Coturnix japonica: one gene and its partners. The protein of the gene in region 2 interacts with the protein of the main gene of each other region in a biochemical or structural test. Links are inferred from orthologs where the notes say so. Each region holds a gene or a part of one and is shown on either strand. Other genes may lie near its edges. The genes, in order: ABL1, XPO1, RANBP3, ADAR and RANBP1.

Region 1 (4,072 bases), on a different chromosome or scaffold from region 2:
GTTGCCTCAGTTAGTTTCAGTTCTCAAGGTGAACTAAAGAACATATAAAAACCATCATCTTCCTGCTCCACAGGGCAGGGAACACCTACCTCACGGGCAGTGTGAGTGATGTGGGGGTTTAACTTCGTTTTTGCCTCTGTGGATGGGGTCGGTGTCAAGCTGTGAGCTCACAGCACCGTAGGGAACGCAAGGCCTTTGTGTGGGGATGAGGGCTGCCCCTATGAGGTAAGGGCTGCCCCTGTGAGGTGAGGGCTGTCGGATTCTCCTCACCGCCGCTTTCCCGCAGCCGGGGCCGGGAAGGAGAAGGAGGAGGAGGCGGTGGCGGAGGAGGAGTGGCCGGAAGGGGTTTGCCCGCCCGCCCCGCCGGCCGGGGACGGGGCTGCGCCGCGGGTTCCGGGATCTCCCCGATCGCTCCGCCGCCCCCCTCGGCCCTTTGTCCCCCTTCCTCCGCCCTGCCTTGCCCTGCCCGCGGGGATGCCGGCCTGTCCTTCCCATCCCCACCTCCTGCGGACGCGCTGCGGGCTCCATCTCCACGGACGGCCTCGCGCCTCTCGCCCGGCGGCCACCGGGCCCTTGTGAGGCGGCCGCCACCTGCTCGGGCCCAGCGCTGTTCGACGCCGCCATGGCCCCCCGCGGCCCACCTGCCTGCTCGGGCCCGGCCCGGCCCCGGGAGAGGTAGCAGAAGGAAGGGCCGAGGGCACGGCGAGCTGCGGGCGGGCATCGGGTCACCACCGGGAGCTGCCGGGATGGTGGTGGTGCTGGGAGGCTCCGGCAGGACGTGAAGCCAGACGTGAGGTGCTTTGGACTTCGCTAACCCAATGCTATGCAAAAGAAAAGGAGAAAGAGGAAAAAGAAGAAGAAAAAGAAGAAGAAGAAGAAGCCTTGACGCTGGTTGTGGTAGGAATGAGTGTTTCCTGACCACGGTGAGCCTGAACGTGGTTTCGTGTCTGTGAGGTGGACGGGTTCTCCTTGGTGGAAGACATACCACGTCCGGGGAGGTGAAACTTACAGCGTCGCTCATTAACGTGTGATTGGAACTTTTAACTCATTTATGTGTTGTTCATAACGCCGTGCTGCTGTCTGCAGAATCATCTGGTGCTCTGCTCCATTGACTGCACCCACCTGGCACGGGAGCACCGAACTGTAGGGGCTGGAAGGGGATCTGGACATCATCCGACATAAAGGTTCTCCTTCAGCCTGGAAAATAAGGAATCACAGACTTCTGCAGAAGCTTCTTGTCCCGGGAGAGGCTGCCCAGAGTTGCTTTATGGGGCAGCAGCCTGGAAAAGTTCTTGGGGACCAAAGGAGGCCGAGTCTGCCTGCCCTGCACTTCATCAAGGGAGCAGGGAAGAAGGAGTCATCGAGGCATGGGGGCCCTCACTGCAATGTCTTTGTGGAACACGGTGAGAGATTTCAGTTGGTTTCACTTTTGGTTTGATTTTGATTTGCTGAGTTGGATGTGATGTGGGTCTCCTAGAGAGCGTAGTGTAAGATGCAAACATGCTGTGCTTCTTGGAAGCTGTTTTCTTTCCCTTGCCTCTTAAGGTAACACTGTTGTTTTTGTTGATACTTCACTTATGTTGGATTATGAGAGGTCATGGCACAACTAAATCTGAAATACAAGGAAATAACTCTTTAACATCATATAAACTTCGCATTTCTGCCTTGGATGTGTTGTGGTTTAAGGCCTAGAGAAGTGCTTGATCCTCTTTGAGTTGTTTGTTATAGGTGCAGACCAAAGCCAGCTGAGGGCAATGCTCTTGTGAGTGATGAGTGTTCTTAATTATCTCTACAAAAGGGGGCTCAGCTGCTTGGAAACAAATCTGGGCTGCTTTTGGGAAGTTGCTGGGTGCTGCTGTTGTAATAACTGGTTGGAACGAAGCAGTTTCTTGTTCATTTGCTTGGTGTGCTTACAGCACTGTTGGTTTGTGGTTTCTCATGGCCAGTTAAACATGCAACTTGTGCTGGAACGGGGGTAAGTGTGGGAGGCTACAAGCAGCCGGGTGAGGGGTACAGCAACCCGCTCAGCTCTCTGCTCCAGATTAAAAGGAGGCAGAGAATCTCAGGAAATACAGCAAATTGAAGTTATTTGGAGTTCCACAGAGCTTTTAAATGCCTTTTCTTTTTCTTTTTTAATGAGATTTCCAACTGAAGGCATCTCTTTCAAAAGGCACAGGCAGAAACGTGTCGTTTCAGTGACCCTTTATGGAATAATGCTTGGTTTTGCGTGGCACTTTATGGTGTTCCTTGAAGGGACATACACCAGGCTGCTGCCTCAGGCTGGAGAAATGGGATCTTCATAAGGTTTCTTCAATAGTTTTGACCTATAGTTTTTCTTAGCTCTGTGATATACTTCTCCTCTGGCCTCAGTTTGGTCACTGCTTGTACTGCATTGGACGGTGTTTCAAGGTCAGGGGAGATACCGTGAGCACAAAGTGCAAGCGGTACGATATTCTCACAGCCTTTGGTGCTTTGATGTAGCAAAAGAGCCAGAAATGCTGCTTTTTGATCATCTGACAGGACTAGGCAGATGGTACCTTTTTGCTGCTGTGACCTGAGGTCAGAAAATCCCAGCACATTTGTGAAGAGAGATAGCATCTCCAGTGTCCACGTACCATATGTCTATGAGAGACCTTGGTTGATTTAGAAATCAACTTGAAAGGGGACATGGAGGTCAGTACAGCTGTTAGGAGAGCTGCAAAAGATCAGTCTCGCTTAGCAGCACGAGGAAGAGTTTCCTCCTTTGTGTATGTGAAATGGTTCTTCATCACACAGGCAGGAGAAGGCTGCACCATGGGTTCTGTGTTGTCTGTCTCTGGGCCTCCTTCTAGCCTGGTACTCTAAAGTACCTACAAAGGTAGGTTATTCTTCCTTGATTTTTTGTTTTGTTTAATAGCTGAATTTTGGTTTTGAAATGCCTGTACAGTCTGACACACCGACCTTCTGACCATCTATATTTAATGGACAGAACAGTATTTCATAGTGTAGCTTTCCTGTTGTGGAAGTGGCTTTTGGTAGAGCGGCTCAGAACCTTGGTTTGGTGGTTTCAATGTGAAATTCAATGTGAAAAATTGTTCGTATTGCATTGCAGAACATGTCAGAGCTTGTACAAACTTCATATCCAGATATACAAAGAGGAACTTCCTATTGGGTCTGTATTGTGCCTTAAGAAATCTCTTAGAAGAGACTTCAGATTGAAGTTTATTTCTTTGACGCTGTTAAATATTACGTTTCAACTGTTTTGATTGTGAAAACAAATGAAAAGCTGTGGTTCCTTCCTATGGATTCAATGACCAACCCATGTATATGAGCTGTTATCAGTAGCTTGAAGACTTTGGAACATAGTTTTGCCAGCCAGGAGGACCTGCTGTGATCAAGCAGTAATACGACTTGGTATTTATTACCCTTTATCTTATGAGTGAGCACAATGCGTCTGATTCATACGCAGTATAAATTCATTAGGTAGCTAATTGCCTGTACATGGAGGTTGTTTAAATGGGATTCCTTCTGTGCTAGATCTCTGTTCTTTAGCATGCAGGTGGTTCCAGGCCTTGCCCTCATACCTTTGCATTGTTCCTATGGGTGAATGACCTGGGACAGGAAGGGGACTGCTCTACTGCTCCTGCTTTGGGCTTTCCCCTTGAAGCTGCACCATTAACATCAGCCTAATGGAAGCTCCTTTGGAAGCCTCCCTTCAGTATCTGAGTCGGTATTTCAAACTGACCAAACTTTTTTTCATTGTTAGCTTAGAGATTTGTTGGCACCCAAGCTTTAATTTCCATTTCTGTTCGGAGGGAATTATCCCCGGCTGTTGAGATCATTGCTATGTATCCATCCTTTGATGTGATTCAGTATTAATCTGGTTAATGCTGACATTGCTCCACGTGGAATGCAGATTTGTGTACTGCTTCTGCCTGCATCCCCTTCTATCATACACTGTAATTCCTGTTCAATTACCAAACACAGGCAAGTTCCACTAAGAAGCCCCTGTGCAGAACTTGATCTGGGCTTGGGATGTGTTAGGAGAGAGGCCTAAGACTTGCTAAACTGCTTTACATGCGCCGAGGTGGAA
Region 2 (3,510 bases):
GAAGCAGGGTTGTCATACATGTAAGGTCAGGTTGTTAGACTTCAATAATAACATTTTTCTGTTAAATGAAAACACTGGAATGGAGCACTGAGTATTTATTAGCAACTTCATGAATGTAAAACACAAGCATTATTTTATTCTCACTGCTGTACTTTTGAAGTAAATATACTTAACGCATTTGTTCTGATATATATTTATTTTTAAATTATATATTAAATGTATTAAAATTACTGCAGTATATTCTCATCCTTAGTAATGTTTCCAGATACAGGTGTCAGACAGTCTTTAGTTTGAATTTTGGTGTTTGTTATTGCTTAGTGTGCTGTCATAATAGAAGATTCGCCTCTTAAAAAGGCAAGAGTACAGTGAAAGTGGCACTGTAAAAATCCATTGCTAAATCTGACCTTTATGCTGCTTTTTGACTTGGTGGGATTATTTATTTTACTTATGTTAGAGAGTTTTTTTAGGGGCTGATGGAATGGTCTGAGCTGATAAAGCTGAATCTTTTCACTTAGACTAGGTTCAGGTGTACCATCTCCATTTTAATGGCGGGTTATTAAATCCAACAGATGTAATGACACTGAAATAATGAACAGAGGAGAATTATTGACTGACTTGTTAAATGCAGCATAATAACCTCAGAGCTAGCCTATGTCATATTTCCTATGGCTCATGAGTATGTATGCATTTTATTAATTATTTAACTTAGTAGCTTTACTGATCTGACTGATAGAAAATATACTTGTCTTTACAACTCTAGCAGATCTGGGTTTAAATTCTTAGCTTGTTCTATCATAAGCTCACAAGAGAAGTATTACACTTAGCATTTTGATTTTGTCTTAGAAATTAACTTAAAAATAATCTTGCTTACTTTTACTGTTAATTTTCTTTCAGTGTATCTTACGCATCTGGATTATGCAGACACAGAACGAATAATGACAGAGAAACTTCATAATCAAGTGAATGGGACAGAATGGTCATGGAAAAATTTGAATACACTGTGTTGGGCTATAGGCTCAATCAGTGGAGCAATGCATGAAGAAGATGAAAAAAGATTCCTTGTTACAGTAATTAAGGTATTGTGTTACAAAACTAACAGCTTTGTCATACTTGATAGTTTATGCTCAAGAAATTGAGCTTAAAAAGACACTGCTCTACATTCTTCAGTAAGCTGTCTTGTACAGCAAACATATTGATGAAAATAATTTGATGGGAAATACCATATACTGAATGTTAGGTCGATAAATTCCTCAGTCATGAAAAATGCTTGAATTCAAATAGCCTTTTCACTGTGAAAATTCTGGAGAGGAAAGTTTGGCTTATGATGAAGTATTTTGCTTTAGGAATGCAGAAGATATGGAAAAAAAGCACTAATGAAGTAAGAGTAGCCTTAATGAAGCAAAGTAACGTGCATTGTTTTTAACCAAATAGCACTCTTCACTTCATGTTTAGTAAATGTGTGTGTGGAAAGAGTACAGGAAGAAAATGTTATCTACAGGAGTAATTAAGCATTGCTGTTACATCATAAAAATACTGCAGAGAGGATTTAGTTTCCCCTACTTGCTGTGCAATACCTGTATGTTTATCTGTATCAACTGATTGGTCAGTAGTCAACACTGAGGGTTGCTGTAGTCTGCCCTGTATACGTCATTAATTACATTTAAAACACATGGCTGAAAAGGTGTTGTTCTAGATTTGGCTGAAACTTAGAATTGTCCTGATCTTTAACTCTTCTTGTTTGTTTTTTATTTTTTAAATCAATTTGGCTTGGAGTTTAATAATAGCATTTACTCTACCGCATCATTATGATAGCTTAATTTAGCCTTTATACTGCTCTTCTAACCTACAAACTTGGGGAGGTGACTAATAATATGTTACATTGTAGGATCTCCTAGGACTCTGTGAACAAAAGAGAGGAAAAGACAACAAAGCCATTATTGCATCAAATATTATGTACATAGTAGGCCAATACCCACGTTTCTTGAGAGCTCACTGGAAGTTTTTGAAGACAGTAGTCAACAAGCTATTTGAGTTTATGCATGGTAACTATCTCTTCTACTTGCTGTTCTGACTTTCTTGATGCCGAGTACAAGTGCATGTCTGGGGGAAAATTCAAAACAGTAACTGATCTCATTTGATTTAGAAACCCATGATGGTGTCCAGGATATGGCTTGTGATACCTTCATTAAAATAGCACAAAAGTGCCGCCGACATTTTGTTCAGGTTCAAGTGGGAGAAGTAATGCCTTTCATTGATGAAATCTTGAACAATATAAATACAATCATCTGTGACCTTCAGCCACAACAGGTACATATAATTCAGGACTGTAAGTTTGTGAAGATGAGTAAAAAGTTGTGACATAACGAAACTTGATAGTAGACTTTTAAGATTTGCATTGTATTTTTTAGTCATATTGTGTGAGTGTGTGTGTGTGTTAGTGAATGTTATGTTACAGACGGTATGATTGTGTTACATTATTAAGGCCTTAATTAGAATTCTTGAAAAGAGAATTAAAGTGTGCCGAGTTGAAATTCTTTTTTCTGGAATGCTTCTACAAGTAAATAATAGTAAATCTGATTTTGAGGTTTTGATTAGCAAAGAAGAGTATTCTACTGTGATAGCATACTTATGGGTCTTGCGTGTCCAGTGGCAAGAGCATACCTGCAGGGAGAATGTGTTCTTACAGAGTGTAGTGCATGCACAGCTGATGCATTGCAGTGAAAACCTTGGAAACCTTGGGCTGAGGAGGTATTAAGTTCCGACTTCTGATTTTCTGCACTCGATTTAGCTCAAAGTTCTGTAAAAGAAATAAATGGAGCTGTATCATAAGAGAAAGCATATGCCTGAAATTGCTTCAGGTAAAAATGAAGGAGGTCTCTGAGATAGTAACATTGGAAGGGAATGGAGGCTTACCTTAAATGTGGTGTAAGTAAGGAAAAGGTGGAGAAAGATCTTGTAAACTCAAGTGGGAAGTACATGTTTATTCACTGGAAACCCATTTTCAGCTTTTACTACCTGCTAGTTTTGAACATGGTAAACTTCTGGGTAGTCTTCCTTAACCTTTCTGTTTGACTTGTTTTTCCAATCAGGTGCATACGTTCTATGAAGCAGTAGGATACATGATTGGGGCACAAACAGACCAGACTGTACAGGAGCATCTGATAGAAAAATACATGTTGCTCCCCAATCAAGTATGGGACAGCATAATTCAGCAGGCAACAAAAGTAAGGCCATAAATTTTAAGTGTATTCAATTAAAATAAAACAGCTGAATGTTTGTTTCTGTGTTGTTTGTTTGTTTGTTTTGGGGTTTGTTGTTCTTTTTACTCCTGGAATTAGGTGAAGTTAGCTGGGGTGTACTTATATAAAGCAATGGTTGATGTGACAGTAAAAGTGTTGTTTGAAAAGAGAAGACTTGAATGACTTAAGAGTGGTTTAAATCCAGTGTAAAGAATTTCACAGAAAATCCCTTAGCAGTGTGTAAGATAAATTCTTGCAAGTGACCATTTTT
Region 3 (4,287 bases), on a different chromosome or scaffold from region 2:
CAAAACAGAGCTATCAGCCACTTCACTGTTAACATCCAAACATGCCTTATGTACTACCACACATACAGATACAGCATCACCTTACTTCACAGGCCTTGGAAACCAAATCAGGGCCTCAATTGCTCAGAGGTATCACATCTTCAATCATGTATTCTATTAAGTGAGATTTTTATTTCTTTCACTCTGATGTGTGACTACATTCAGCTGTTTCTGAGGCTACAAGGTCAGCCACGTTCCCTCCAAGCAGACAAAACATGACCTCATTTTACCCCTGTGACAGCTGACATCCACACAGCCACAGGGGCTGGGCATGGTTTCTGAAATAAAGATTTAAGCCTTCAGTGCAGCACAAAGTGCCCCATGACTGAAAAGCCCAACGGAGATTCCGAGTGCACATATATCAGAAACGTGTCCCTTTATGAACCCATTATGGAAGGCACCTACAGCGCTGCAAATATTTCCTTATGGAGCTCAATTCCCTCAGCTCAGCTGGTGGGAGCAGGATGAGCACCAAAATAATGTAAAGCCAACGCACAAATGAACAGCAAAACCAGCTGATAATCACCTGAAAAACAGCACAAGGGGGGAAAAAGGCCGGGGGGATCCCTACAGAATGGGCTATGAGGAAGCAGCAACATGCATCCTTGTTAAGGCTTGATGTAAGATCAGCACACTATAGATAGAAGGAAAAAAATGGCTATGTAGATGTTTCAGAAGGTTTTCTTTACCCTTCCATCAGATTTGGGCAAAAAGGAGAATTCAAAACATCTGGAAAATAAAATCAATGGGAAAAAAAAAGAAGGATGTTAGTTGTAAACAGAATGAAGTGCTGGTTCTATGGACAATAATCATCTTCTCAGCAACCCCACTTCCTCACCACACAGTCTGCTCTTCCTGCCTGCTCTGGTACCACTCAAATCAACTATGAAATAGCAGCTGAATTATATACGTATAGAAGCCCATATGGCATCAGGCCTGGAAAATAACTGCAGGTGTTCCCTTTATACTGCAGTATGGCAGAGAAAAGTGGTGGAACCCAAATCTGCGTCAGCTGAAGAATATTTGATGGCAACAGCTTACAAAGGAAAAGAATGCAGGTAAGCAGATAATATCTGATTTGAGAACACAACCACACACACAGACTGCTCCAAGTTAACCAAGGCAGAACAATTGGGCCTGAAGGACAAGCTAAAGAAGAGACCTGGGCATTTGTGTTTTATAGAACTCCAAAGGGACAGGTAACAAAACCAGACTCTTCCAATAGCTATGAATAGACTGAAAGCAAGAAGAAAGCTACGAAGCCAACAGCTGATCACTGAAAAAGACCCCACAAGCAAAGTCCGATCATACTTAATGACACTGGATCATTCATACCCGGAGCTCACCAATGAAGTCATGGTGAATATAAATTACAACAGGATGGTGGGGGAAAAGGGGAGAAAAAATATATTTGTAGATACTGCTGCCTCACTTTGAGGACTCTGCTTTCAAGACATAGAGCATGTGACACAATCTGGTTTATCTTCAAACCCTTTTTGTCTCTGATCATATGAACAGGCAACTTCTACAAAGCGCTGCCACAGCCGCTATGGGCACATGGTGCCTTTTACATACCCAGGAGTAATTAGAAAATTTCATACCATTTTTAAAGCACAAACCTCTTGTGTTGGCAGAGAAGGTGTTATTTCATCTCCCAAGCCCTGGTGCCATCAGCAGGTTTCCCTCTGCTTTAGGTAGCACTGACAGCATCCCTTCAATTTGGGAGCCAACAGCCCCACGTGTGCTGCATCATAAGATCCACCCAATGCTTTTGGTGTAACACTGTGGTCAGCTGCAGGTGGGATCCTGCCCAAAAGACACTTCCTTCTGTCTAACGTTAACATCAGGGCTGTAAACACCACTGGCAGAAATCCTGAGCATCAGGAATAGCACCGAATGGAAGCACTGTCCGTTCTGGCTCCTAAACTGCGTTCAGCTCCTCCCGTTCGGATGAGGATGGAGCTGCACCCACCGCACTGGGAGAACGGCTGCAGGCTGCTGCGGGCCGAGCTGGGCCCAGCGGGGGCTGCCCGACCTGCTGCTGCCCGCTGCCATTTAAGCAGCGCCCGCAGCCCTCGGGGCCGAACCCCCCCGTGCTGCACCCACAGCCCCACAGCGCTCTGGAATCTCCGCAGCAATTTAGTCCCAACGTTTCTAAGCCAAGAAACGCCTGTTCCGCCTCGTCCGGCCGCACGCAGCCCCCAGGGCTCCCAGCATCAAAGGGAGCGGCAGCGGTAACAGCAAGGACCCGCTCGGAGCAGCCCCGGGACCGCGGGGACAGCGCAGGCCGGGCGGTAACGGAGCGGGCCGCCATGGAGCCGGCGGGCCCGGCCCGGCTGGAGGCCCCGCGGGGAGCAGAGCGCGGAGCACAGCGGGCAGCGCAGCGCGTCCCGGCGGCGCCGCCTTTGTCCGCCCGCTCCCCGGGGCGCCGTGAGGCCGCACGGAGTCGTTGCGCTGAGCGCGGCCCGGAGCGGAGCGCGGGACCCGACCGGGCGGGACGCGGAGCGAGGCTGGAGCTGGAGCCGGGCCCGTCCCGGCAGCGCCTCGCACAGCAGCGGCCGCCCGCCCCGATCCCAGCCGCGATCCTTATCACTATCCCTGTCCTGATCCTTATCCCTGCCCGTACCCACCTTCGTTGGCCAGGTCCGCCATTTTACTTCCTCAATCACTCCCGAGATGCATCGCGCGGCCGGACGGCTCCACTACCGGCCAATTTACGGCCGCTCTGCGCATGCGTGAACGGCCGGGCGGGCGGGGCGGAGGGCGCTCAATAATGGCGGATGTGTCCGCGCATGCGCGAGGCGGGCCGGGTGTGGCACGTGGTTCCGTTTTGGGGCGGTCGCGCCGGTTGGAGGCGCTGCGGTTCTGTCAGCAGGAGCTTGAATTGCGGCCCGCCGCGCTTTCCGTGCTCCAACCAACGTGTCTCCGTACAGTGCGTGATGCTGCCACCCCAGGCTCTGCACACAGGGCTGCAGCCGTGCGCTCTGCGGGCACAGCTGCCCCCGGGGGTGGTGGCACGGCACGCTGTGATTCTCAAGGACCTACGCTTACGTACCCTACGCACTTTACGTACCCTACGCACTTTACGTACCCTACGCACTTTACGTACCCTACACACTTTACGTACTCTACGCACTTTACGTACCCTACGTACTTTACGTACCCTACGCACTTTACGTACCCTACGTACTTTACGTATCCTACGTACTTTACGTACCCTACGCACTTTACGTACCCTACGCACTTTACGTAGGGAAGTCCTGGAGCTCGCCGTGCATGGGTGGGATGGTGGTTCCCATGTTGGGAGCAGCAGTTCCTAATAGTCCCTAATACCAGCAGTCCTACCAGCAGGGCGTTAGTAGCTCCAGCTGTAGAAGCAGCTCTGTTTCCAGCTCCCTCAGCCTGCAAAGTGCCATGACCGACATTGTCACCTATAGAAGTGACGAGGGGCCTCTTCTGGGTATTGAGCAATAACAGCTGGATATTGAACAGCTCGGCAAGGTCTGATGGTGATTTTCACGTCCCCGAGCAGCTCACAGGTGTCAGTGCTGGAAGCTGCGATGTCCAAACACACACGGTGCCCAGAGCGTGATGTGTTTCTTTACACACAACCTGCAGAGCGTGGAGCTGAGCACGTTCTCGTGTCTCATCACACAAGAACCGTCATTTGCACAGATTCACAATGTGGCTGAATTTGCTCCAGTTTGTGTGGAATTAAAGCCTGTCCCAAAGCGGACATGTCCTACAAACTGAGGCAAACACTACTGAATTGGTGTGAGTATAATTACCCGTTATGTGAGTATCTAAAAAACAGTAATTACATTTTGAACTTAAGCACGTATTCTGGTACGTTTCTCCATCGCAGAACATTGTGCTTCACAGCCTGGAAGCTGGTGGAACCTGTGAGAGATGGCAGCTCTTATCATGGAAGAGTTGGGCAGCTTTAATTGTGGGCACTGCTGTGCTGTGCTTCCCTAATGAACGCACGGCACTGACAGTGCGTGGTGTGACCTAGTTCAGGGTTGTGAGTTAGCAGGAATTTACCTCCCAAAGTTACACTCTCTAGACCTTAAGAACCAGCAGGTCACAGTGTGTTCCTTATCCGTGTTCTAATTAGAGCTCGTGCTTCTCTGGTATCATTAACACAAGAGAGGAAAATTGACAGTTTAATGCTCTCAGAGTTTGGAGGCCGGATTCTGGTTTAATTTACCTATAAATCAGTCTATAACAATATCAGAGTAGATGTGA
Region 4 (4,272 bases), on a different chromosome or scaffold from region 2:
GAGAGTAATAACGAGGAGGGGGACAACGTGGGGGTGTTTCTACCTGCTGCTGCTTGCTGGAGAACCTATGCCATCCTGCTTTACCACGGCCACCCTGCCCTCTCCCTGCAGGAGCAGCAGCCTGCCATCCCCCAGCACACAGCTTGCTGTACGACTGCGGCCTCTGAATTAAGCAGACATCACCATCCAGCTCTGCCAGGCGCCGAGAGGATTCCCAGTTTGTTATCTGCGACGAATGGGGGCGGTTAAAGAAAGCTGGGTGAGGGTTGGAGCAGTTATGCCTTGCTCGGGTGAGATGTGAGCCTTTGCCTTGAGCAGCGCCTCTGCTCATAGCGCTCTGCTTGAGCACACGTTGGCATCCAGGCTGCCTGCACACCAGGAGCAGCGATTCCTTCCAGTTCCCAGTGGATACCTGCTAGGAAGACACACAAAAAACAACCCAATGGGGGTTAAAAACCCAATGACACCATTATAAGCAGAGGTGCAGCCTAAACACCCCCCATGCTGCTGAGATAAGAGCCTCGCCAAGCCTTTCCACTGCCATTCAATTATTCATGTGAGCACAGCTGGCAAATTACACCTGCCCAGGTCAGAACCCAGCAGCCAGGAACACTGGGTGAGGTTAACAAGAAACCAGCTTCATATAAAGACAGATTGGCCGCTCTTGTTTGGGCTGAACATCAAGGTGGATGCAAAGACTGCTTGAGTTTGGGTTCAATCCCCTTCTGGCACCACTGGGACATGAGCAAGTTTCACTTCTGTGCCCGCAGGGAGGCAAGAAGCTCATGTCTGCTTTTGGAACCTGAAAGGCAGAGGGAGGCAGGGCAGCTCAATGTGGCACAGCTGGGAGAGCTTCATAGTCAGGGCTTAAGCCAGAAACCTATAAGACCTATAAAGACCTATGGATGTAAAGCATCACACTGCAGGAGTAAGGTGATAACCTACAGTGAAATCAGATCGGCAGCCGCTTTGTAATGCCACGAAGGTGTTTTGGGGATGGCAGCCTTGAGTTTCGCTCACACCTTCAGGGCTCTGAGCTTGTAAAGTGAAGCAGCCGCTCATAGGGTGTATCCCAGCCCTCCTACACATAGTAATGGATATCCCCTGCTAGCCTCCCCCCCAGGGACCCCCACATCACTCAGCATTGATAAACCCTTTACAAAGGAAGCTCTTTGACCTCCCCAAGCCCAAAAGCGATGTGTCAATAGGGAAAAGAAGGATGAAAAGAGGGGAAGGCTGCACGTGGAGCGCTCCTAAATGACCGGAGCACGCTCAGCTCTTTAACCACACCGACCACCAAAAGGGCTGACAATAGCAGGACACGGGGAAACGGTTTTAAGTTAAAAGAGGGAAGATTTAGGTTGGATGTCAGGGGGAAGTTCTTCACTAGGAGAGTGGTTAGGAACTGGAACAGGCTGCACAGGGAGGTTGTGGATGCCCCGTCCTTGGAGGTGTTCAAGGCCAGGTTGGACAGGGACCTGGACAACATGATCTATGGGGTCTCTATGGGGTCTATGGGGATCTATGGGGTCTCTATGGGGTCTCTGAGGGGATCTATGGGGTCTCTGAGGGGATCTATGGGGTCTCCTGGGCAACCTGATCTAGTAAAGGTGTATGTTTGGTGGCCCTGCCAGGCAGGGGGTTGGAACTACATGATCCTTGAGGTCCCTTCCAACCCGGGTCATCCTGTGATTCTATGGGGACTGTAGGGTTTATGGAGTCTCTATGGGGATCTATGGGGTCTCTATGGGGTGGATATGGGGTCTATGGGGGGTTGGAACTACACGATCCTTGAGGTCCCTTCCAACCCGGATCATTCTGTGATTCTATGGGGGCTGTGGGGTTTATGGAGTCTCTATGGGTCTCTATGGGGATCTATGGGGTCTCTATGGGGATCTATGGGGTCTCTATGGGGTCTCTATGGGGTCTCTATGGGGTGGATATGGGGTCTATGGGGGGTTGGAACTACACGATCCTTGAGGTCCCTTCCAACCCGGCTCATTCTGTGATTAACGCGGCTCTTTACGGTCCCGAATCAGCACCGACCGATCGTGTGTCGGCTCTTCCCGTTCCGCGTTACCTGCGCTCGGTCCGACAGCCCCAAACGGGGCTTTCTGTGCCTTCGGACGGCCAAAGCGAAGCTCCGGAGGCGGTACCGGGTCCGGTTAATGCCGTAAGATGGCTGCGGATCCTTTCGCTTTCGGTTCCGTCCCCGCAGCTGTTCTCCCCGCCCCACAATGAGGCGGGCAGCGCTGGGACACGGCGCCGTGCCTGGAACCGGACGGGGGGGGGTTAAAGGAATGAGGCCTTGATTGAGGCGGAGCATTGGACCCGGTTCGGGGTTACGGTCCCGGTACCGGTACTACCGTGCACATCTCCACCATAGATGGGAACTCTCTTTATTCTCTATGTTCTCACCCCCCTTCATCCCGTCCCGGTTCCCCATTTCCCCCTATAGGCTCCAGGCTCCTCCCGGTGCCCCGTTCCCACACCTTACCCCTCCCCCCCCCGTCCCCTCTTACCCCCTCCGCCGCCACCGGCGCCGCTGCGGGCGCGCAGTAATGACGTCATCAAACCGCGCCACGCGGCGTGGTGGCCGCCATCTTTCTTCAGGGCACGGAAAGACGGAGGGGTTCCGGTAGGACAACGCATGGCTGCGTGCCGGTGGAGGGGCTGCCGGCCTACCGGGGATATCGCTTCGATCCCGGATCTCCGGTTCGCTCCCCGAGTGTCTCCTGTTGTTGCGGACGTGGCCGCACTAGGCCTGACCTTGCGCGTAGGTGCTACCGCGCATGCGCTCTGTGATAGCAGTGACACGCATGCGCCTGAGCACCGTCGGACTGGCGCATGCGCAGTGAGCTCTGTCCATGTGCTCGGTGGGCGTCGGGTGTAATATATGGGGGGGGTCTTCATTCACCTTCATTCACCCATCTGCCTTCATGGCCTATATGGCTTCTACAGCTACTCCAGCCCTCGTTGTTCTTTGGACTCCCAACCCCCCACCTCCCCTATGTGCTCTCAAAGCCCCCCTAAGTTCCCCCCACACCCTATGGGGCTCACACCCCCTGCATTCATCCCAGCCCCACTTTGATGCCAAGGGGAAGCAGCCCCATAGGTCCCATCCCATAGTTCAGCTCCATCCCTTTAGGGCCACGTCCCCATGTCTTCAGGTCCCCATGGAGCCCCTATAAAGCACCCTCAGCCCCTGCCCACCCCCAGAGCTCCCCCAGCACCCACCCATCTCCCTACCCCATAGGACTGCACTGTCCCCTGTGTCCCCCCCTCCCCATTTTATCCCATTTCAATTCATCTCATGCAGCATGGAGCTGCCCCCTCCATCAGCTCCATCCCTTTAGGGCCATGTCCCCATGTCTTCAGGTCCCCATGTCTTCAAAAGTCCCTCATGGAGCCCCTATAAAGCACCCTCAGCCCCTGCCCACCCATCACCCACCCATCTCCCTGCCCTCCACCCCTCCATCTCTCACAGGGCCCCACTGCACCCCATAGGACTGCACTGTCCCCTGTGACCCCCCCCCCCTCCAATCCCATTTTACCCATTTCAATTCATCTTACACAGCATGGAGTTGCCCGCCCCCTCCCCAGCCAAGCTGCATCCCCACTCCCTGCATCATCTTCCAGCAGCACTACATTGTCCCCCACCCCCCCTCCCAGCGTGGATCCTGCTCCCCCCTTCTTCAACCCCCCCCCCCCTCCCATTACACCCATCACAGCTCCCCAGGCACGGAGCAGCCTGTTCCCGTCTGCTGCTCACTGGGTGCCATCTGCCAGCGAGACAGAGCCAGGAGCCCCACGTCGCACTGTGCGCCCACGGGGAGCCCCACGTCTCTATGTGAGCACCCACGGGAGCCCCCAGCCCCTCTGCTCCCCAAGGGGGTGGGTGTTGGGGGAGCTCCGGGTGGTGAGCAGGGGCTGAGGGTGCTTTATAGGGGCTCCATGGGGACCTGAAGACATGGGGACGTGGCCCTAAAGGGATGGAGCTGACGGAGGGGGCAGCTCCATGCTGCATGAGATGAATTGAAATGGGATAAACTGGGGATTGGGGGGGGGGGAGACACAAGGGACAGTGCAGTCCTATGGGGTGCAGTGGGGCGCTGTGAGAGATGGAGGGGTGGAGGGCAGGGAGATGGGTGGTTGATGGGTGGGCAGGGGCTGAGGGTGCTTTATAGGGGCTCCATGAGGACCTGAAGACATGGGGACCTGAAGACATGGGGACATGGCCCTAAAGGGATGGAGCTGACGGAGGGGGCAGCT
Region 5 (4,110 bases), on a different chromosome or scaffold from region 2:
GACCATTAAAGAACAAAGCACTGGGATCAATGACACTGTGTTTGTCCATCCCAGTTACATTTCAAAGTGTCTTCAAACATCAGCACTCTTTGAAACAAAGAACTTCCAGATTCAGTGCTGCAGGTTATCATCAAAACTACAGCCTCCTTCCATCCATAAAGATGAGAACTCATGTTTTGATACATGGCTTTTGTGGACAGAGCAAGAAATGACAGCATTTATAGTCTCCTGTAAGTTGGACACTTGCTTTAAGAGGCAGCATCTCTCTACCTACACTGCTAAAAGCCACCGGGCTCTTGAGTTTCAATGTATAAAGCTCCATCAAGCTTACTTAAAAAACAAACCACACACACACACAAAACAGTAGCAAGTATAGTAACACATAACATACTGTAATGGTTTGCGCAGATTTTTAGAGTTTTATCCCTCCTCATGAGGAGGCGAATTGTTCCCTTCTCCTTGTGCTTTAGGAGTTTTACATCACCAGTTCCTCGTTCTTTCCATTCTGGAAGCTCATTCTCAGATGCAAATCGGAACAGCTTTGCTCGCCTTAAAGAAGGAAGAACGTGAGAAGTTAGCCTGTATGTAACAGCTTACTGAAACAACACATCCACCTGTATGGTACAGCAGATGTTTTTAAGCCACGCAAGAAAGAGAAAATGTTTTGAAAGAACCTTGGGTGGTTCTGTGAAGTGCCAGGAGTTGGACTCCATGAGCCCTGTGTGTCCCCGCCAGCTTGGGCTACTCCGTGTGATTCCAAATAGATCTTTGTCTGGAATGTGCCTAGATCCTATGCTGGTCTTCCATACCTTTTGCACTATAAGTTTTAGACCAGTATCACATACCTTCAAAACTTTATTTATTATCCAAGTTAATGTTTTCTTTTGGGATAAAAGAGTCAATACTAAAACCAGATTCATGACACCATCTCCTTCATGCTATTCCAGACCTTCATCAGTTCCTTGGGGACAGTGCTGTCAGACCTCCCCAACTCAACCTCTGCCATTAAAGTAAATAGCAGTGAACTTACACTGCCACTTCATACAGAGATTCCTAACAAGTCATCCAACTTTCTCGTAACACATTAAAGCTTGAGTACAATAAGCAGCCAGATAATGCGTACAAGTGTTCTACTTACATCTTGAAGAGCTCTTCCTCATCCTCTTCCAGAGTCTTTATTTCCTGCTCTGGAAGGGAAACTATGGGCTCAAACTGAGGATCGTGGTTGGAATCATCTGCATTTTCAGTAGAGGTATCGTGCTCCTCATGTGCTTCCTGGACAGGGGAAAACAAAAAAGAAAGCTAAACATGCTGCACACTTACATTCACAACTACTCAGCAACTGGATCTCAGCAACTGAAATATGTGTTAAAATTAACCAATATTCACAGGTGAAAATTAATTGCTTTATGTCGATGTGCAGTTAGACTAAGAAAGAAGCAGCCTCATGCTGGTTTTGTTCTACTGTCCTGGCCTTTGGCTGCTGAAAAGTCATTTCCCCATCATTTTTCCAGTATATGCACTTAATGCTACTAACAACCTATTGTTAATGGGGGGGAAAAACATCACTAAAGAAACCACCTCCACCAGCCCAAGTCCATCCAGACAGGCAACAGAAGTTCATTGTTCTCATCCTACGTGTCAGAACTCCCCACAGCCGCAGAGATTTCTGAAGCACAGTCAAAACACTCGCGAAGTGACTGAAGTTTTTTTCCTCCAACACAACGCTCTTTGAGGAGCCTTGTTTTTCATTGAGGGTAAATGGCCAACATGAGGCTTCCTATGCAGTTGCTCGGGGTCTGCCCGCACAATTGCTGGGCTCAGGAAGTCTGCAGGGGCAGCTGGTGAGGAGGGCACGGCACCATGACTACATGGCACGGTACCACGACTACATGGCACGGTACCATGACTACAGGGCACACGGCTGTGCTGGTAGGGGCGCTCAGTGAGGAGCCTTCAAGGGAAGCGCTCCGCAAACTCAGCGAGGCCACAAACATGGATCTCGGGGGGACAGAACCGGTTCGTGCCTTTTTGTTGCCGCAGCCGGGACAACACAAAGGCGGATCACACACACACACACACACACGGGGCCTGCATTGCGCTCAGTGCGGAACGGAGACAAGACGGGAAAGAACGGGGCAAAAACTTTCGGTTATCGGCGATCGCTGCGGGGCACGAGCGGCCCCGGCGGATCGGAACGTTCAGATTGAACGGAGCCGCCATACAGCGTCGGGATATAACGAGATAACGACGAGATAACGAGAGATAACGAGATAACGAGAGGAGCGGAGCGGCCCCGCAGCCCCGCCCCCGGCACACCGGGCCCCGCCGCCACGTGCAGAGCGGGCAGGGCGGTATCGCGACAGGCGACACGTGGGGCCCTGCGGGAAGGAACGAGGAGTGAGCGGGAACGGCAACAACAGCCAGAAACGGCCCCGGGGAGCGGAACGGAGCGGAGAGGAACGGAACGGAATAGAGCGGAACGGAGCGGAGCGGCTCCTGCTGCTCCCCATGGCAGCGCTGCCCCAGCCGCCCTCGCGCAGCTCGGCCCACAACCGGGCCTGGGCCGCGGCCTCGGCCCCGCGCGGCCCCCACCCGCTTCCGTTACCGCCATCCCCCACCCCGGCCCGCTCCCCCGCCGCCTTCCCCCCCTTATTTCCCTCCCCCCGTTCCCATTCCCCACCTTATTATCCGCCATCCTCCCGTTCTCTCCCGCTGTCTCAGCTCTTCCTGCCGCGTTCCCGCCCCTCCCGCCTTTACCTCATTCCCGCAGCCCGCGCCGCCGCAAGGCACGATGGGAAACGGCCCCTGCCCTCCGCCCGCCCCGCCCCTGCTCTCCTCTCGCGGTGCTGGGCCGCGTGTGTCCGTGTCCGTTTGTCCGTGTGTCCGTGTGCTGCTGTGCCGTGTCGGTTCGGTTCCGTGTCGGTTCGGTGCCGCCCACAGCCCCGCCCGGCACCCGTACCCCCGGCCCTGCAGCCCCGCTCTCCTCCCCTCCTCTCTCCCCGTTCCCCCTCCCCCGGCCGTGCCGTCCCGTCCCAAGATGGCGGCCGTGCTGCTGCAGCGCTGAGCCCGCCGCTGTCTGTATTGTACCGGGTCGGATCGCACGGTTCGGTGCCGCTGTATTTGAACACCATCATCGCTGCTGATCGTTCCATCCCCGTCTCGCTCCGTGCCCGCTCCGCCCCATCCCGCCATGGACGCGGCCGAGGTTGGCCCCGACGTGTACGGGTACACCCGTGCGGAGCTGTTCACCTCCGAGATCTACAAAGTGGAGATCCAGAACCTGCCCAAGTACATCGGCTTCAACGACGTCAAGAAGTTCCTGGCCAAGTTCGGGCTGAGCCCGCACAAGATCAAGCTGCTGGGCAAACAGACGTTCGCCTTCGTGACGTTCAAGAGCCAGGAGGAGCGGGACGAGGCCGTGCGGGTCCTGCACGGCGCCGCGTGGAAGGGCCGGGCCCTCGGAGTACGGGCGGCCAAGCCCAAAGCCGACCCCATGGCGAGGAAACGGCGGCAGGAGGAGCGGGACGGGACCGGGACGGAGCCGGCAGAGCCCGTCAGCAAACGGATCGCGGACGTGGTGACCCCGCTGTGGGCACTGCCCTACGAGCAGCAGCTGGACGAGAAGCGCCGGGACTGCGAGCAGCTGCTGCAGAAGCTGGCAAAGTAATGGCACCAAGTAATGGCACCAAGTCATGGCACCAAGTCATGGCACCAAGTCATGGCACCAAGTCATGGCACCAAGTCATGGCACCAAGTAACGCCGCCCTCAGCCCGCAGTCGGGCACCTGAGGATGCCAGCACAAAAGGGCCTGTGCAGAGATGGCCCGGTGCCACCGGGATTCCCTTACAAATTATCCCCTCGGTTTTCAAGCTCAGTCTTTGTAGATCGAAGTATTTGTTCCATCATTTCCCTCAATCCCATAGATAAAGTCCCACCTGTGCGCTGGGTACGTTCTTAATCTGGTACATAGAGTTAAAGTTGTACAAAGTGTCATTTCCTGGGGCTGCAGGTCTGGTAACTTGAGAGATCTGTTCCCCTGTTAAAACGTGGGTTTCCTCCAGGAGAAGAGTTTTTCCTCTGGTAACTTGTTATGTCCATTGTGGGCC

What was found.
Region 1: the proteins of XPO1 (region 2) and ABL1 interact in a test that uses a peptide from one of them, tested with the Homo sapiens proteins (2 studies listed by BioGRID). The link is inferred for Coturnix japonica from reciprocal best matches to the Homo sapiens genes XPO1 and ABL1.
Region 3: the proteins of XPO1 (region 2) and RANBP3 form a complex in vitro, tested with the Homo sapiens proteins (2 studies listed by BioGRID). The link is inferred for Coturnix japonica from reciprocal best matches to the Homo sapiens genes XPO1 and RANBP3.
Region 4: the proteins of XPO1 (region 2) and ADAR form a complex in vitro, tested with the Homo sapiens proteins (2 studies listed by BioGRID, with this or other methods). The link is inferred for Coturnix japonica from reciprocal best matches to the Homo sapiens genes XPO1 and ADAR.
Region 5: the proteins of XPO1 (region 2) and RANBP1 form a complex in vitro, tested with the Homo sapiens proteins (3 studies listed by BioGRID, with this or other methods). The link is inferred for Coturnix japonica from reciprocal best matches to the Homo sapiens genes XPO1 and RANBP1.

The regions. Positions count from the first base shown.
Region 1 is NC_029532.1:4,567,057-4,571,128, forward strand, and holds the start of ABL1 (tyrosine-protein kinase ABL1), read left to right. Parts: upstream 1-1,267; coding exon 1,268-1,403; intron 1,404-4,072. UniProt on the Homo sapiens protein: Non-receptor tyrosine-protein kinase that plays a role in many key processes linked to cell growth and survival such as cytoskeleton remodeling in response to extracellular stimuli, cell motility and adhesion, receptor endocytosis, autophagy, DNA damage response and apoptosis.
Region 2 is NC_029518.1:5,211,712-5,215,221, forward strand, and holds part of XPO1 (exportin-1), read left to right. Parts: intron 1-894; coding exon 895-1,076; intron 1,077-1,885; coding exon 1,886-2,042; intron 2,043-2,143; coding exon 2,144-2,307; exon of another isoform or gene 2,308-2,797; intron 2,798-3,089; coding exon 3,090-3,224; intron 3,225-3,510. UniProt on the Homo sapiens protein: Mediates the nuclear export of cellular proteins (cargos) bearing a leucine-rich nuclear export signal (NES) and of RNAs.
Region 3 is NC_029543.1:271,886-276,172, reverse strand, and holds the start of RANBP3 (ran-binding protein 3), read right to left. Parts: upstream 2,803-4,287; 5' UTR 2,692-2,802; coding exon 2,670-2,691; intron 1-2,669. UniProt on the Homo sapiens protein: Acts as a cofactor for XPO1/CRM1-mediated nuclear export, perhaps as export complex scaffolding protein. Bound to XPO1/CRM1, stabilizes the XPO1/CRM1-cargo interaction. In the absence of Ran-bound GTP prevents binding of XPO1/CRM1 to the nuclear pore complex.
Region 4 is NC_029540.1:1,491,362-1,495,633, reverse strand, and holds the start of ADAR (double-stranded RNA-specific adenosine deaminase), read right to left. Parts: upstream 2,803-4,272; 5' UTR 2,653-2,802; coding exon 2,523-2,652; intron 2,272-2,522; coding exon 2,081-2,271; intron 416-2,080; coding exon 1-415. UniProt on the Homo sapiens protein: Catalyzes the hydrolytic deamination of adenosine to inosine in double-stranded RNA (dsRNA) referred to as A-to-I RNA editing.
Region 5 is NC_029530.1:1,023,460-1,027,569, reverse strand, and holds the start of RANBP1 (ran-specific GTPase-activating protein), read right to left. Parts: upstream 2,807-4,110; 5' UTR 2,699-2,806; coding exon 2,684-2,698; intron 1,276-2,683; coding exon 1,139-1,275; intron 550-1,138; coding exon 392-549; intron 1-391. Other genes in the region: TRMT2A (tRNA (uracil-5-)-methyltransferase homolog A), read left to right, coding at 3,194-3,666. UniProt on the Homo sapiens protein: Plays a role in RAN-dependent nucleocytoplasmic transport. Alleviates the TNPO1-dependent inhibition of RAN GTPase activity and mediates the dissociation of RAN from proteins involved in transport into the nucleus.